Linked DNA regions of Rhinolophus ferrumequinum. The protein of the gene in region 2 interacts with the protein of the main gene of each other region in a pairwise test. Links are inferred from orthologs where the notes say so. Each region holds a gene or a part of one and is shown on either strand. Other genes may lie near its edges.

Region 1 (7,406 bases), on a different chromosome or scaffold from region 2:
CCCACTCAAAGAGGTTCTGACTCAGCAGATCTGAGGTCAGGTTCCAGGACACTTGGTAACAGACTGGACCCATGCTTCGGAATCTTCTTTTAAATCCTTACTGATTTGGGTTAGAAACACCCACCAAATTCCTATAGGACTTCACTATTTGACATTCAGTGTGTTCTACCTTGAACTTTTAGATATACCATTTTTTTCTCAAATAAAGTTAAACTCTTTGTGGATAGGGATTGTACCTGATGTACCTTTATATGAATTAATCTTACACAAAAAGGCTTTATAAATGGATAAAAATCTTGCTGAAATTAAACTTCCTTCCTTCTTCCTTCCTTCCTTCCCTCCCTCCTTTTTCTTTCTCTTGCAGATGACAAATGTGTGTATTATGTATGTGTGTATATATGTATGTGTGCATGTGTGTATGTATAGGTGTGTACATATGTGTCTATGTGTGTGCGCACCTATATGTGTATGTATGTACATTTCTGTATGTGTGTTCATGTGTATGTGTATCTATGTGCGTACATATGCATGGGTGAGTATGTTTCTATATGTGCATGTGTGTATGTATAACATATATTTGCACATGTGTCTCTGTGTGTATGTGCACCTATACGTGTATGTATGTACATTCCTGTGTGTGTATGCTGTGTGTGTGCGTGTGTGCGTATATATGCACGTGTGAGTATGTTTGTATGTGTGCAGGTGCGCACACTCTCGTGTACTTACACAACGGGAAGGACCAGCCATTTACCTGGATGAGGCGCACAGGGTTCTGCATAATGTCCTCTCCCCCGAAAAGGTAGAGTCTTTGGTCTTTCACAGCGACTGCAGGGTGGAGAACCTCCACTGGCATGCTGGCCACGCTCTCCCAGACGTTGCAGATGCTGTCGAATCTCTCCATGGAGCCCATGACCTCCTGCCCTTCTCCAATGCCCCCGATGGAGAAGATGAAGTTCTTATGGGCAGTGCTTCGGTGGGAGTAGCGGGCCGCCAGCATGGGCTGCCCCAGGCTCCACTGATTGAGCTTCAGAGAGAAGACGTAGACATTGTGACTGGGTACACTCTTCTGTGCGCCGACAGCCATGCCTCCCAGCACGTACACGCTGCGGTGCAAGGAGACGGCCGCCGCCTTGTACAGCCGGGTCGGGAGCTTGGCCAGGCTCTGCCATTGGCCAGTCTGCCTGTTGTACAGCAGAACGTCCCGGGTGGTCTGCTGGTTGTCCTTCCTTCCACCCAAGAGGATGAGGAAGTCTTGGTAAGAGTTTCTTGGGGGGATGTGCCACGGAGGTTGGAGGTCTGGGGCACTGGTGGCGCCATACAAAGGAAACATCTGCCTCTTGGCTGTCTCCAAGATGACCTGGCATGAAGGCGAGGACTGCAGGAGAGCGTCATTGGCAATGAAGTGGTGGAAGAAGGCCGGATGGATGTACTGAAGCCTGACCAGCCGGAACAGGTCCTGCATGTATCGTTTCCGGGCCTGGAGGTCATGCTTGATCCAAACCATGAGGGCCTCAAACACCTTCTCTTCCTCCCCACAGAGCCCGTCATCTCCCAGGTAGTCCCTCAGTTCCAAAGCACAGAGCTCCTTCAGGTCCGCCGATGCGGACACCTCTGGGAAGTACGTCAGGGCCACCTCCCTGGCTTTCTTCTTGAGGGTCTTGCAACTTAAGATCTCAGAGAGTCTGATCATGCCCAGGCAGTTGCTGGGGGTCAGCTGGCTCTGGAGGTAGGAGGAGCAGGCCTCAAACAGCTTGGGGTACTGAAGCATGGAGGCGGCTTCCATCAAAGGCAGAACGTTGTCAGCTGTGATGTGCACCGCCCCGGTGTACACATACAGGACGATCTGGTCCAGAGTCATGGAGTTGACGCCCTTCAGCTGGACTTTGGCCTCACTGCTCTCCCGGAAGTTGCTGCAGAACATGGCCCTGAAGTAAGGGCTGCTGGAGGCCAGCACATTTCGGTGGCAGGGGACCTCCCAGGCCCCAGCACAGATGCTCACATCAGTCAGGATGCTGTTTTGTCTGAAGCCATTGAGCTGCCTCAACAATTCGGAGGAGAAGTCATGGTCGTTGAAGAGCAGCCCATCTGGCGATGACTCATTCATCCTGCAAAGAGGGGAAGAAGTCCCACGAGGGAGCATGTGCTGGATGGAGGGTTTGGCTGTGGAGTCTCCAAGACCTTAGAGCATCTGCATCCTTTCTCCAAGACGCGTGAGGGTATCGCCAAGAAAATCCTGTAGTGAAGATTGGAAAGGGAGGCCACCTGCCCTCCAGACTTCACAGCTCACGCCTCTCCTTTTGGTTATGGTTCCTCTCAAAGGTAACAGGCAAACAGCATCTTCAGATAATCTGAGAAAAAACGAGCAAACAAACAAAAACAGTGAAGGCTGTTGGAAGTTACTCTATTGTCAGGAATGGAAATGTTAGCCTAAAGCAAAATGACAGTCTATGCGTTTGCCCACCAGAAGCCTTTCTCTAGATTCTCAGCCTATCTGTTATTTTTGTAAACTCATCCAAGCATCTTTCTGGGTGTTAGTCCTTCCCGAAGGGACGTCATTCTGGGGGCGTGGCCTTCTGCTAACTAGACAGGAAGGAGGGATAAAGTGGACCTTTGCAATGTTCTTTTTTCCCCTTGAGAATATGACTGCATGAAGTCTTTAGGGTTTTGTTTTCAAGATGGGATAAATAGGAAGCACAGACCCAAGAGTAACCTGGGCAGTGTTTATTGGATGATGCCTCACGGTCTACCTGTTGAAGAATGAAACGTCAGAGACATTTACCTTGTTTTGTGGCAGTACCATCCGCCGATGTCTGGTCCGGCTCGTCCCTCCAGAGTCTCCACCTCTGGCTCCAAGTGAAACCATAAACCCAGGCCTTTCCTTCAGTTGGCAAATGATTTGTCCTGGGAGAGTTCTGGATTTGTTTATGCTGAAGGCGCTTTCACAGTTTTCTAGAGCTTTGTGAAAGAACCGCTGGGCAGGGAGACAGTGTATACATTCCAGGGCTAAGAATAGTTGCATATGTACTTTCCACTGTTATGACATGTGACTTTCCAGTTGCCTTTTGCAGCAAGCCGAGGGCCTGCAGAGCCGGCGCATGCCCACGTGCCTTGTTTCTTTGGCAAGTGTTTACATCGGCATAAATAGATCCGAAGGAACGGCTTCTCTGAGACAGGACTTTGCTGCCCATTTGGAAACATCCCGAGTCCCGTGTCCTAAAAGTGCCTGGGAATTCTAGATGTCTGTAAACAGGTTGCTGTGACCTGGTGAGAGTCACTGAAGGTAGTTCTGGGTGCGCGGAAGGTGGCAGATGGTCCCAAGGGAAACCCAAAAGGGGGCCCAGGGGTGCTGTTTAATGGGTCTGTATTTCTCACCTGCCGGCCAGGATCATTGGAGAGGGCTGTCATTTCTTCCTCCGGGCTCTGAGATGATGGAATCCATGACAAAAGTTGTGTTCAATGTTTGTGAAGCACCCCCGCGTTTCCAGACTTGGAAGGACCAAACCTTGGTGGCTGCTCCTTCCCCCAGAGGCTTCTGTTTTAAAGTGGTGAGGGCAGCAGCCCTCCTGCACGACACACCTGCCTCTCTCAGAAAGTGCTGATTGGTTTTCCATTAGTTTTTACAAATAGGTTTTTGCTTTTTTGTTTTACTTTCCCGTTTTTTTTCCTGTCAGAAAGGCTTGAGATCGAGGCGGGAGGCAAGGCATATTGCTCTAGAGTGTGCCAGAAAGAGAGAGAGGGAGGGAGGGAGAGATGGAGGAAGAGGGAGGAAGAAGAAGAGAGAGAGGGGAAGGGGGGAGAGAGACAGAGGAGAAAAAGAAGGAGGAGGAGGAGGAAGGAGAAGGAGGGAGAAGAAGCAGGAGGAGAGGGAGAGAGGGAGGAAGGGAGAAGAAGGAAGGGGAGCAGGAAGAGGAGAATGATGACGGTTATGGAGTAGGATCAGCCCCGGGATGGGCTGCTGTAGACCTATGAGGATGACTGAGAGGGTCCCCGGGTCGGTCCTGCCCCTGCTTCCTGGGAGGTCCTGACTGAGGGCACCGGCAGTGAGTGACAGGGAAGCCTGGTGTTCTCTCCTCAAATCGCACTTTCATTTTTGTAACAGCCTACAGCCTCACGCACTGACTTTTCCCCTCGCTCCTGTCTCTTTCTCTCCAATAACCCTACCCTGTCACCACCAGAGTAATCCCGGGACAGGCAAATCAGAACCTGCCAGTTCCCTGCATCACGCCTTTCAGTGGCTCCCCAAGTCTGCAGAATAAAGTCCAGACTATTTAGCAGGAATCAGACTGGTCTCCTGTCCACCTCCATAACCGGCTTCGGCCACTTCCCTCTCCCACTTATATTTGGATTCTGGCTCCATCAGACGACTCGTAGGTCCTTACATGTATCTAGTCCCTGTTGGGGAGGCTGGGCTGGCCAGGCCTTTAGGGGACCACAGGGCAGGGTGGAAGGAGGAGTGTCTCTCATTCATAGTTGCAGGTCATAGAGTGGATCATCTTCCAGAGTACAGAAGGTCTAGGTCAGGCAAGTATATCCATAACATGCCACTGGGGCCGGGGGCCTAGAGGCCGGAATGAGGAGACCTGAGCCAAGGGGGGCAGAGACCCATGGAGATACAAGCGAAATGCTGGAGAGAGGAGCTGTTGGGATAGCTATCAGCGCTGGTGAGTATTCCTTCGCTTCTGAGCCATGCTGGTGATGTAATAGACGGGTAGCTAAATTCCTTAAAGGGCCTGTGTTCCTTCTGTTTCAAGCTTCTCAGTCCTCTGGACTGTGTCCGCTCCCTCTGCCGATTTCTAATATTACATGCCTCAGGCCTCGCTGCAATGGTGTTTACTTGACTGCGCCTCTCTTCTTGGAATGGCGGTGTCTGGACGGCGAGAACCTTGTCTTGATTTTCTCTCCATCCCAACTGCCTAGCCTCGTACCTGGCACGTGGTGGGTGAATTAGCCACAGTGCCTGCACTGGGCGTTAACAGAATGCAGACTAGGAAAAGAGAGGGAGCTCTGTGGGGTGAACTGCATGCCCCCGTGTGCTGAGTGGGTTTTAGCAGGGCTGCCGTGTACAGCTTGGCGCACGTCCATTAGACCACAATGCGACTGGTCGTCGGGAACGGCCCTGGATGGCCCTCGTTTTAATCAACTCCAATCACGTGATGAAGGGAAAAGTTTAAAATAATTGCTTCCTACCACGCAGCAAGAGTTAAGTTCAAGGTTGGGACCTACACTGAGGTCCTTCCAACCCCAAAGCTGGTGCTTTCGTCCTTGGCCGCCAAGACGGCACAAGGCAAAAAATAACTTCCTTGTTGCTCTGAAACGCCTGTCGTCTTATGTCTCTTGCAGCTGGTGAGCAAGCCCCGGGTTTGTTGTGAGGGCGGTAGCTAGGTTTTTCTGGGAGTGAACTAACATGGCGCCATCCTCTCTAGGGGAAACTTGGAGCTTCCCCAACATTCCCTAGCTAATTAGACCTTCTGGAATCCAGCCTGGTCAAGTGTTCAGATGAGCCCTGGTGTGCAGTGTCAATGTCTGACCAACTTTGATAAATTCTTTGGATTTTAAAGTTAAGAAAAAACAGGCCCCATTCCATTGGCCTGGCCTACTAGGAGACTTTGGGCCCAAAAGACACAAAGAGAATCTTGGTGTTTGCCTCCTAGCACACGCACATATAACACCAAGCCTTATCCAAAAAGCATCTGTGCCACCCACATGGAACCCCAACCAGCCTACTTTCAATTCATGAAAATATTTGTCTCAAAGATTTTTGTACTTTTGTCTTAACTTTACGTCCTGACCTTTTCTGGGAGGGTTTAGGGTGTGAACATATGGGAACCTTAAATAAATGAGGACATTCAGCTCTTTGCCCCTACTTTTGATGAAAATCATTATCCTAAGCAGTCAAGACTCAGGCTTTGAGGGCAGAAAGATTTGGGAGAATCTTGACGTTTCTTCTCAGCATCTGTGTGGTCCTGGGCAAGTTAACATGTTCCAGCCTCCGTTTCTTCATCTGAATGGGAATAACCATCTTTGTCATAGAAAACTAATGTGTGGGGAGCATCCAGTAAAGTACCTGGCACAGTTTAGGTTCACTGCACTAACTTATGGTTAGTATTATGGTTAGTGTTTACTCTGAAAATAATTTCATTAGATTCCAACAGTTCTCAGTGCCCAGTTTTCAGCATCTAATGCGGTCGCCTGCTCACTCTGGTTGTTTCCTGTGTCTTAAGTAATTGCTATGTTCCTCACTATCTACCCAGCCTCCAGGAGTCCTAGATTCCAGTCCAGGATCCGCCATGGACTGGCTGTGTGTCTTTAGACAAGTCACAAAACCTCCCTGTACTTACTTTCTCACCTTGCCAGGTGACCTCTGAGCCTCCCTCTTCCAGCTCGCCCTGTGGTTTGTGCCCTGAGGTGGCCAAAGTAGTGACTGATGGATGCTGAACCTCAGAAAAAGGGATTTTCTCAGAGCTTCTGCTCATCTCTGGCCTAAAGCCAGAGGCTTCCAGCTCATGCTCTTTATTATTTTGTCCTTTTATGTAAATTCAGAAGAACTTCCGTTTCCTCATAGAGTTTTGCATTGATAGTACAGGGCACTTTTACTTGGGAAACCTCGGTTTGTTTCCTGGCTGGGTGTGCTGGGCCTGAAATCCTGTGGACCGTCAACCTGGTTCAAGTCAGCTGCAGGTCTGACAGCTACAAGCAAGGAAGCCACGAACCATACATGTCCAGTCCTCCTAACACACTCGAGGCAAGGTGTCACTTTCACACTAACCAGTGACCACAGCTATCTGTTCCAAGGAACTGTGTTTCAAGAATGTGGAAATCTGCACTTAAAGGCCTAGTAAGAGCTCCTCGAAAACTGGAAGGTTGTTGTTCGTTGTCTTCAGAGACTCTCCTGTTCTCACAGTCAGCAGGTGAAGGAGAAAAATGAGGAGCAAATAAGGCCCCAGTGAACTGGGTCATTAAAAGCTGCAGTAAGGAACTTGCCTCTTGCTTTGTGATTTTAAAACTTTTCTATGTATGCGAGTGCCTGTCTATCGGTGTCTGTATCTGCCTGGCTGGGTGTATTTTTTAAGCAGCTTGTGGAAAGCTGAACAAGGACTTTGTACTCTAAACAATGGTGGCAAGTCAGCCTGCACCTTGATTCTGGGATGACCATGACAACTGTGCTCTGAGAGTTAAAAGCCTAACCCTGTTTTTACTAGGTCAGTAGTACAAATGACAGCATTCCCAACTCTTCCTCACCCCTGCTCCAGCACCAGAAAATATCTTCATATTTCCCCCCGCCCCACCCCCTGGGAAGGGCAAAGGAAAAAAAAGGGCTGACAGAGATGACATCAGGACTGTTGGTAGCTTGTTGGTATATAACCCAGCTGTCAGGGCCCCTTCTCTCCGCAAACTACATCTTGACC
Region 2 (8,031 bases):
TCCTTAACTGCTGGTACCTAGTAAGCGTCCCTTAGATGTGGCCACTGTAATTACTACCGTCTACTATTAGCCCGCTGATGTCCACAGTAGAGGAAAGCAGTGGTCAAGAGCGTGAAAAGTGTGTGCTTCCCCTGTTTGTGGGGGTGTGTACATGTGCTTTGTCTAACATCTGAGGCTGCTTTCATGTGTTGTAAGAACTATGGACAAAGTAAAAGCACACTTGTAAAACTTAAGTGCATGTTCCAAGAAGCTATAATTGGGACAAAAGCAGTTTATGAAAATAAATGAATTAGCTGTGGGGATGGAGGTGTCAACACACGCACAGTTGTGACTCTTCCTGTCTCTTTGCCTCTGTTCAGATGAGTGACGTTTGGATTGATCTTGACATTGTGGCTGTGTTCTCTTCTGGTTTTGCCTTCTTGCGGTCCCTATGTGCCCCTGTCTCCTCCTTCCCCATTCCCGTGGTCAGGGACCTGTGTCTCAGAGCTTAGACAGTCAAAGATGCTGCCCAAGTGTACTGGAGCAGAGCATGTCCCTTGTGGAGACTCAGGCACCTGGAAAGCTCATCCCGTAGGATTTGGATGCTGGGCTCCCGGCCTGCCACCCACAATGTTCTCAGCCTGGTTCCCTCTCTGCCTTCTCAGGCTCCTACCTGGGCCCTGAAGGGGTCACTGGGAGGTACAAGCCCATTGTACATGTGGTACCTGATGGACCTTTCTAGTTTGATAAGGTAGGACTCTCAGGATCACGGTGTAACATAAAGGGAGACAATATGAGAAATCAGAAGAAGGGAGGGAAGGTGGTATTAGGGGAAGAGAAAGAGAGGGCAGAGCTAAGAGACAGGTGTTAATGGCCCAGGGAGCTGGGGTAAGGTGAAAAAGGAAGTGAGAAAAAGAGATGAATAAGGCAGAGAGGGGTGAATGAGACCAGAGTAAGGCAGGATGAGCAAGATGCTGGCCAGGAAGTACCACTGGGGAACAGGGCAGGCAGTAGTTCAGAAACCAGAAGAAAAGTCACCTGGAAGATAAGCCTCAGTGCCCCCAGAACCAACCTCCTGACACTTGCAAGAGCATCACTGACCATTTTTTTCCAAGCCTCAGGCTTAGATTTGGGCATTCAGTGGCTGTGGTTCCATGCCAAGATCATCACCTAGCCCAGCGGCCTTGCCTTCTTGCTCAGATATCTGGCCTCTGCTCCTCTGTATGGCTTTTCCCCTCTCCCAAATCCAGGCCCGTTCTCCTTGCATCTAGGTTCTCATTGTATCACCTGGCAAGTCTCTCAACTTCCCTCCGTGCCCCCTGCAAGCCATTCTGCATTTTAGAATCACTGGGGCTGGAGGGTGGAAGCTTTTACAATTCTGATGCCCAGGTTATATCCCAGACCAATAAAACCAGAATGTCTGGGTGTGGGGGCCAGCTATCAGTACTTTTAAGGCTCCCCAGGTGATTTCAATGCAAAGCAAAGTTTGGGAGCTCCTGGTTTAAGGCATCTTCCCAAAGCACCAATGTCATCCATCCTCTGTTAAAATGGGCTCAGTGAGTCTCCTGGCGGATGCACAGGAAATGGGGCAGTCAAGGGGAGTGTGGACGCTACTTTCCACACCTAAGAACTGCTGGGCCTGCGTCCAGAGCTGCTGGGTTCTCTGTTCACGCAAGGACCACGAGAGGTCCCTGAGCGGAGAGTAACACTTATGAAACATCTACTAAGTGCTGAACTGCAAAACGGCTTGGTCATATTCTTCACCTGAACTCACTAACCTTTGCTCACGGAATTGCTTTTCCGGTCCTGAAAGGCTTCAAACCTGCCTCTCCAAATCCTGTCATGGTGCTGAGCTTTGATCTTTCCTCCTCTAAGGAGTCTGCCTCTCATACTCCAGACTCCTCTCATGTGTGACATAGAAAGACGGGTTTGATCAGAGCAGGAAGAGGATATTTGATGCCTGACACAGAGGGTGAATGCTCCCAAAGAGTGGCTGAAACCCTCAGTGCCATGACCTCTGGATAGGAACAAAAAGAAGGCTGGCAGGAGTACACAGCTCTCTGGGGGCCTTCTGTAGGCCGTAGGGGTCAAAAGTGTCCTATGGAAGCGATTGCTTGTCCAGTAAGTGTTGCAGATATCAAAAGTTCAGAGGAGGCAGAGCAATTTATATTTTTAAATCACAAAGTATATGCATTACTTCTCATGCCACCGAATCGAGGCAGGGATTTTCCTCTCTGTTTTTGCAGTAGAGCCTTTTAAAGTTAAGAACACACAGACTCTGGGTTCAAATCCTGGGTGCTTCTGACTGACTGTCTGATCCTGGGCCACTTAACTTCTCTGAGGCTCAGCTTCCTCATTTGTGGGGTGGGTCTGGGCTGAGGGTGCCATGGGGCCATGCAGGCAGTGCCAGGCAAGTTGCTTAAGCACTGAGTATTGGCTATTACTGTTTTGTACCAGTGAGAGCTGAGGCTCAGGAGAGCACAGCGCTCGTTCACACAGCTGGCAGGGCGCCCCCCCCCCCCCCCGTGTTCCTGAGCCAATGTGGCCCACCTCCGGGGCCCGGCACTTACGAGGTACTGATGCTCCTCAGGCGGCCCTTATGGAAGGTGATGGTGGCATTGCGGCAGCAGTGGCTCTCGTAGTAGTAGCACTTGATGTTGCTGCTGGTCGTGCAGCAGCACTTGCAGTTCGGGTCATTGGCCCACGAGCAGCAGCACCAGTGGCAGTTGGGGTTCTCGGAGCAGGTGCAGTGGCAGAACTGGCAGTTCCGCTCATCTTTGTAAGGGCAGGGAAAGCAGGTGCAGTTCCGCTCTGACGTGAACAGGAACTTGCAGCACAGACAGGAGCACAGCCGTGGGCAGCATCTCTGCCACGTGCAACACGGAGAACAGACACACATAGCAGTCTCCATGGCTCGGTCGTGACGGTCACCTGCCCTCTTCCACGAGAATCCTGCTGTTAGTTCTCCTGCAGAGGGGTTCCTCTTCCCCCCGACGGGGCCGTCAGCTTGGAGGTTGCAAGAGGTTGGCTGTTATGAGGCCTTCGCAGGTGATGTCCCTACTAGGAAGTTCATGGGCTGGCATTTACATATATGGGCCTGAGGCCATTTGCTTATGTCACAATCCCTGTCTCCCCAGCATATCTCTATCCCATGTCTGGGAGGGTGAGCTCTGGGGGCTAGTGGCAGGTGCGCTGGGGGGCACACCATGCTTCCGTAGGACCAGCTCCAAGGAACAGTAAGGCAATGAGCATCCTGAAGGGTTAGCTGTCACCTGTCACTTTTCGAGTTATGGGGTGGACTTCAGAAGCTATTTCTCTCTGCTTTCCCTGCAACTTGGGCGAGTTAACTTGAGGCTATGTCTTTATAGGCCTCAAGGTCTGGATATGATTAATTGAAAAGTAGACTGACATGATGTTCGTCTCCTTGGGCTTTTTCTGTGTTCATAGAACTCTTTATTTGATAAGCAAAGCACAGCATTTACAAATAATAGCAATGCCACATTTAAGGCCATCGCCATTTGGAGAAAGAATTACAGAAAAAAAGATATTGGTTCACTTAGGCACTTCTTTCAGTAGTCATTGAGTTTGTCAGTTGCTGCGTTGATGATTTTCTTTTCTTTTTTCAAATTTCTCAAAGGCTTTCAAGGTTTTTCATTTCAAATCTGATGATGTTCATGACGCTTCATGTATTAACTCACCCTGAATATTTCTTGGCTTTTGCAGCTTCGTGGGGTTTGGCCGAGGCTCAAGCTATCTCCTACCCCGCCCCCCACCTTCCCACCTCATGTATCTTTTTACAAGAGGTCGGAACTCGACATGAGGAATTTTAACTTTTCTTTTAGTATACATGCAGTATGTCTAGAATGACCTTGTAGCATTTTAGGGGAGAATTTTCTTTCCAATTAATGCAGCTTGCAAAGATTAAAAGAACAGAGATTTCATGGCCATACCACCCTGTGGTATAAACACTGTCTTATTATTTTTCCAAAAAGAAGCAGAAGTAAGAGCTGAATTGGCTGTAGGAGTTTATTGCATAATTTATTATCTCTCTCTATGATTATCACCTTTATAATCGGAAGAGCATTCACTGAGAGCTGACTGTGCCAGCCACACATGGATTTTAGATTCCCACAAATGAAAATCCTGGTTCATAGGGCATGTGCTTTATTTTTTTGGATAGATACTACTAAACTACTTACTTGAATGTGCCTGTTTATACTGACACAAACAATATATGGGAGGTACTTTCCCCTGTCATGTTTTCCTAAATTCCCTTTTATCAATGTTTCTCTCTATTCTCCATGCACAGAGTTTAACACACTCCTGAATTTAAATATGTTTTCATCATTGATCTGCGCAAGCCTCCCTCTTGTCTTTTTATTTTTAAATATTTATTGAGATATAATTCATTTACTATTAAATTCACCATTTTAAGTTGAAAAATTCAATGGTTTTAAGTATATTCACAAGATTGTGCAACTATCACCACCATCTAATTCTAGAATATTTTCATCACCCCCCAAAGACTCCTTGTATTCCCTGCAGCCCCTGCAACCATTAAACTACTTTTTATTATCAATGTATTTGCTTATTCTGGACACTTCATATGCATGGAATCATATATAATAATATGTGGCCTTTGTGACTGTCAAATAAGCTGAAGTAATCCACACAATGGTGTGTATGTAACTATGTAAAAGAATGTGAAAGACTTCCGTTGACTGTTTCAAAGTGATTTCTAAAATATATTACTGAGTGCAAAAAGCCAGATATAGAAATGTGCGTATAATATGCTACCATTCATCTCAGAAAAGGTCTTACGTCATTGGTTTGTCTTATGATACATTAAGATAAACCGAAAACTTAGATTTATGAGGTAGTACAGGAATAAGGTCAAGTGGACTATATATCTTAATTTATAGGATTGATTTGAAAGCCACTTAAGTATTTCACATAATTATAAAATGAAATTGAATTAAAAAGAGAAATCCTAAAAATTAAGCAAAATGAAACAAGTGAACCTGTAAATTGAGTTGGTAGCATAACCATAGAAAGACAAATTATTTTGTTAGCTTAAAATACAGTAATTTGAGTGGTCATATGGTTCTCAACTTTTTCTGTCTGACTTATTTCGCTTAGTATGAGAATCTCAAGATCCCTCCATGTTGTCGCAAATGGCCGTATTTCATCTTTTCTTATGGCTGAGTAATATTCCATCTATGTGGAATATGAAACTGAGAGGAACAAATGAACGAGACAAACAAACAAAGAAACAAAAACTTATAGAGACAGACAACAGTTTGGTGGTTACCAAATGGTAAGGGAGAGAAGGGATGGTAGAAAAGGGTAAATATATGGTGATGGAAGGAAAACTGACTCTGGGTGGTGGACACACAATGCAATCAATATACGGATGATATATTATAGAAATGTACACTTGAAACCTGTATAATTTTTTACTAACAAATGTCACCCCAATAAATTTAATAAAAAATTAAAAAATACAGTAACTTGATGGTACATCCCCATCAAGTGGGGTTTGTCCCTAAGGACAAACAAAACAAAACAAGGAGAAATCTTAAATTCTCTCAGTAGTCATGTTGTCAGTGGGAGTCAGTATTGTTATTCTGAGAGTGTTGCGTGCGTCGTACAATAAAGCAAAGGAGGAATTCGGTTGTTGTCAATGAGAATCACAATTTTTGTAGTGGGAGAAAGGACATACAGATGGACGACGGCTGAAGTTAAGAAAACCTTTAGTCCTGAATTTGAGTTGGAAATAATCAGTATCAACTTGTGATGTCTTTTATCTGAAAAAAATATTTCTTAACTCTGGCCACTGAAATGGCCGAGAAACCCAGTGGTAATGAGCCCCGTTGTCTTCCAGGTTGTGGTCTCTGAGTATCACTCAGAGGAATCAGGGCTCTCGGAGAAACGGGTGATTCCAGGTCTGGGGCACAAAATGTGTAAGATAAACGGGTTCAGGTGTACATCTGACAAAACTGAACGGGTCCCCTCCAGCACCAGTTTACTTAGCTTTGCTAGAGGCTATAGAACAGAAAGGACAGTGTGCCAGCAGAGCAGGGTCAGGTGTGATGGCTCAGGTGTGAAGGAGATAGTGATATAGTGATGCCGTGATGTACTGGCCAGGTGTCCTTGCTAAGACTGAGGTACTCATTCCTCCGGTTGCCTGGAGGGTTGGCTGCTCACAGTTGGGAATTGTTTTCAGTACAGGGGAACTGCCTTGCCCGAGGTTATGCCCCTTTTCAAGGATCCTCACTGCTTAAATTGGGACAACTGTAAAGGGCCATCCCAGATACCAAGGAAGTCCTGCTGGGGTTCACAGTTGCATTCACATTGTAGTTTCGTTTTTCCCGCTTCACAGCCCTGTTTCCTTCACTTCCTAAGAGCCCTTCCCATTAAACTTCCTGTGCATAACTCTCCAGTCTCATAGTCTGTTTCTGGGGGAACCCAGTGCAAAGGAACGGGTATGGGAACTGTTCTGGCTCATAAGCCCCTTTCCCCCTCTGAGCCAATATGTTTGATTTCATCCCATGGGAACAGCTGCCAGGGGTCTTAGCAAGGGACATGCCCAGTTACAAGGATGCATTGCATTTAGAAAAGCTCAGACTATGGATTCCTACTAGGTGTGGATAGTTAATTCACAGTCCTCCTGGGCCAGGTGTAGTTTTCTAACCAGAGGTCATTTTTACCATAAGCAATGTTGCTTGGTAACATAGATGACATTCCACCTTTCCTGGGTTTCCAGGGGAACAGAGCTAAAAAGTTAACCCAAGGTCATTTTTTCATAGAGAAAGAGAATGAGTTTGCTAACCTTTTTTTTTTTTTAACAAGAGATTTGTTTTAATGTTCTACTTTTATTTATTTATTTATTTATTTATTTATTTATTTTATTGGGGACGGGGAACAGGACTTTATTGGGCAAATAGCGTGTACTTCCAGGCCTTTTTTCCAAGTCAAGTTGTTGTCCTTTCAATCTTAGTTGTGGAGAGTGCTGTTCAGCTTCAAGTTGTTGTCCTTTCAGTCTTAGTTGTGGAGGGCGCAGCTCAGCTCCAGGTCCAGTTGCCGCTTTCTAGTTGCACGGGGCACAGCCCACCATCGCCTGCGGGAGTCGAACTGGCGACCTTGTGGTTGAGAGGATGTGCTCCAACCAACTGAGCCATCTAGGAGCTCAGCAGCAACTCAACTCAAGGTGCTGTGTTCAATCTTAGTTGCAGGGGGCGGAGCCCACCATCCCTTGCGGGACTCGAGGAGTTGAACCGGCAACCTTGTGGTTAAGAGCCCACCGGCCCATGTGGGAATCGAACCGGCAGCCTTCCGAGTTAGGAGCACAGAGCTCCAACCGCCTGAGCCACCGGGCCGGCTCCAAGTTTGCTAACCTTTTATTCACATTAACAAAAAACCTACAAGTTCATGAAGGTAACTGAAACGAAACAAAAATCCCAACAACTCTCATTTAGACAGGATACTAGGAAACTTGTTATTTTGAAACCTGCTAAATAAAGGGACAGAAACATTTATCTAGACTTTGTTATATATGAACTGTGCCTCAGGATAATGAATGAGTTGATAAGCGTAATTTTTCTCTTTATAGAAATATCCCAGCTCATAAATGAGGAATGATGGAATTAAGACATCATCCACTTGCAACTCCTACTGAAGAGATGAATCTAGGCGATTCCCTCCGTGGCTGCTAACAGCACAAAAGAGAGACAACCAGGCATTGTGTGCTCCCTGATGGAAGAACACAACACTGCCCGTAAGTGTTCTTGCAAAAGTTCTAACCTGAATTGGATCACACTTCTAGATGTAACTACAAACTGTCGAGGGCAGGCGATGTTGTGGTGAGGAAACCTAAAAGTGCAGATTGTGGAAAACATACAGGACGAATGGCCGGGTTTCTTCAAAAGAAATATTGTAAGGGGGACACACACACACACACACACACACACACACACGGAAATTTATAAATTAAAAGAGACCTAAGAGACCATGTTAACCAATTGTAATTCTTGACCTTTATTAAGATCTTCA

Evidence for each region.
Region 1: the proteins of TRIM42 (region 2) and KLHL38 interact in binary tests that used the Homo sapiens proteins (3 or more experiments, as listed by UniProt). The two-hybrid records come from large-scale screens. The link is inferred for Rhinolophus ferrumequinum from reciprocal best matches to the Homo sapiens genes TRIM42 and KLHL38.

What each region holds. Positions count from the first base shown.
Region 1 is NC_046297.1:60,903,752-60,911,157, forward strand, and holds the start of KLHL38 (kelch-like protein 38), read right to left. Parts: upstream 3,001-7,406; 5' UTR 2,780-3,000; intron 2,349-2,779; 5' UTR 2,141-2,348; coding exon 752-2,140; coding exon of another isoform or gene 727-751; intron 1-726.
Region 2 is NC_046300.1:39,337,224-39,345,254, reverse strand, and holds the start of TRIM42 (tripartite motif-containing protein 42), read right to left. Parts: upstream 3,064-8,031; 5' UTR 2,891-3,063; coding exon 2,550-2,890; intron 1-2,549.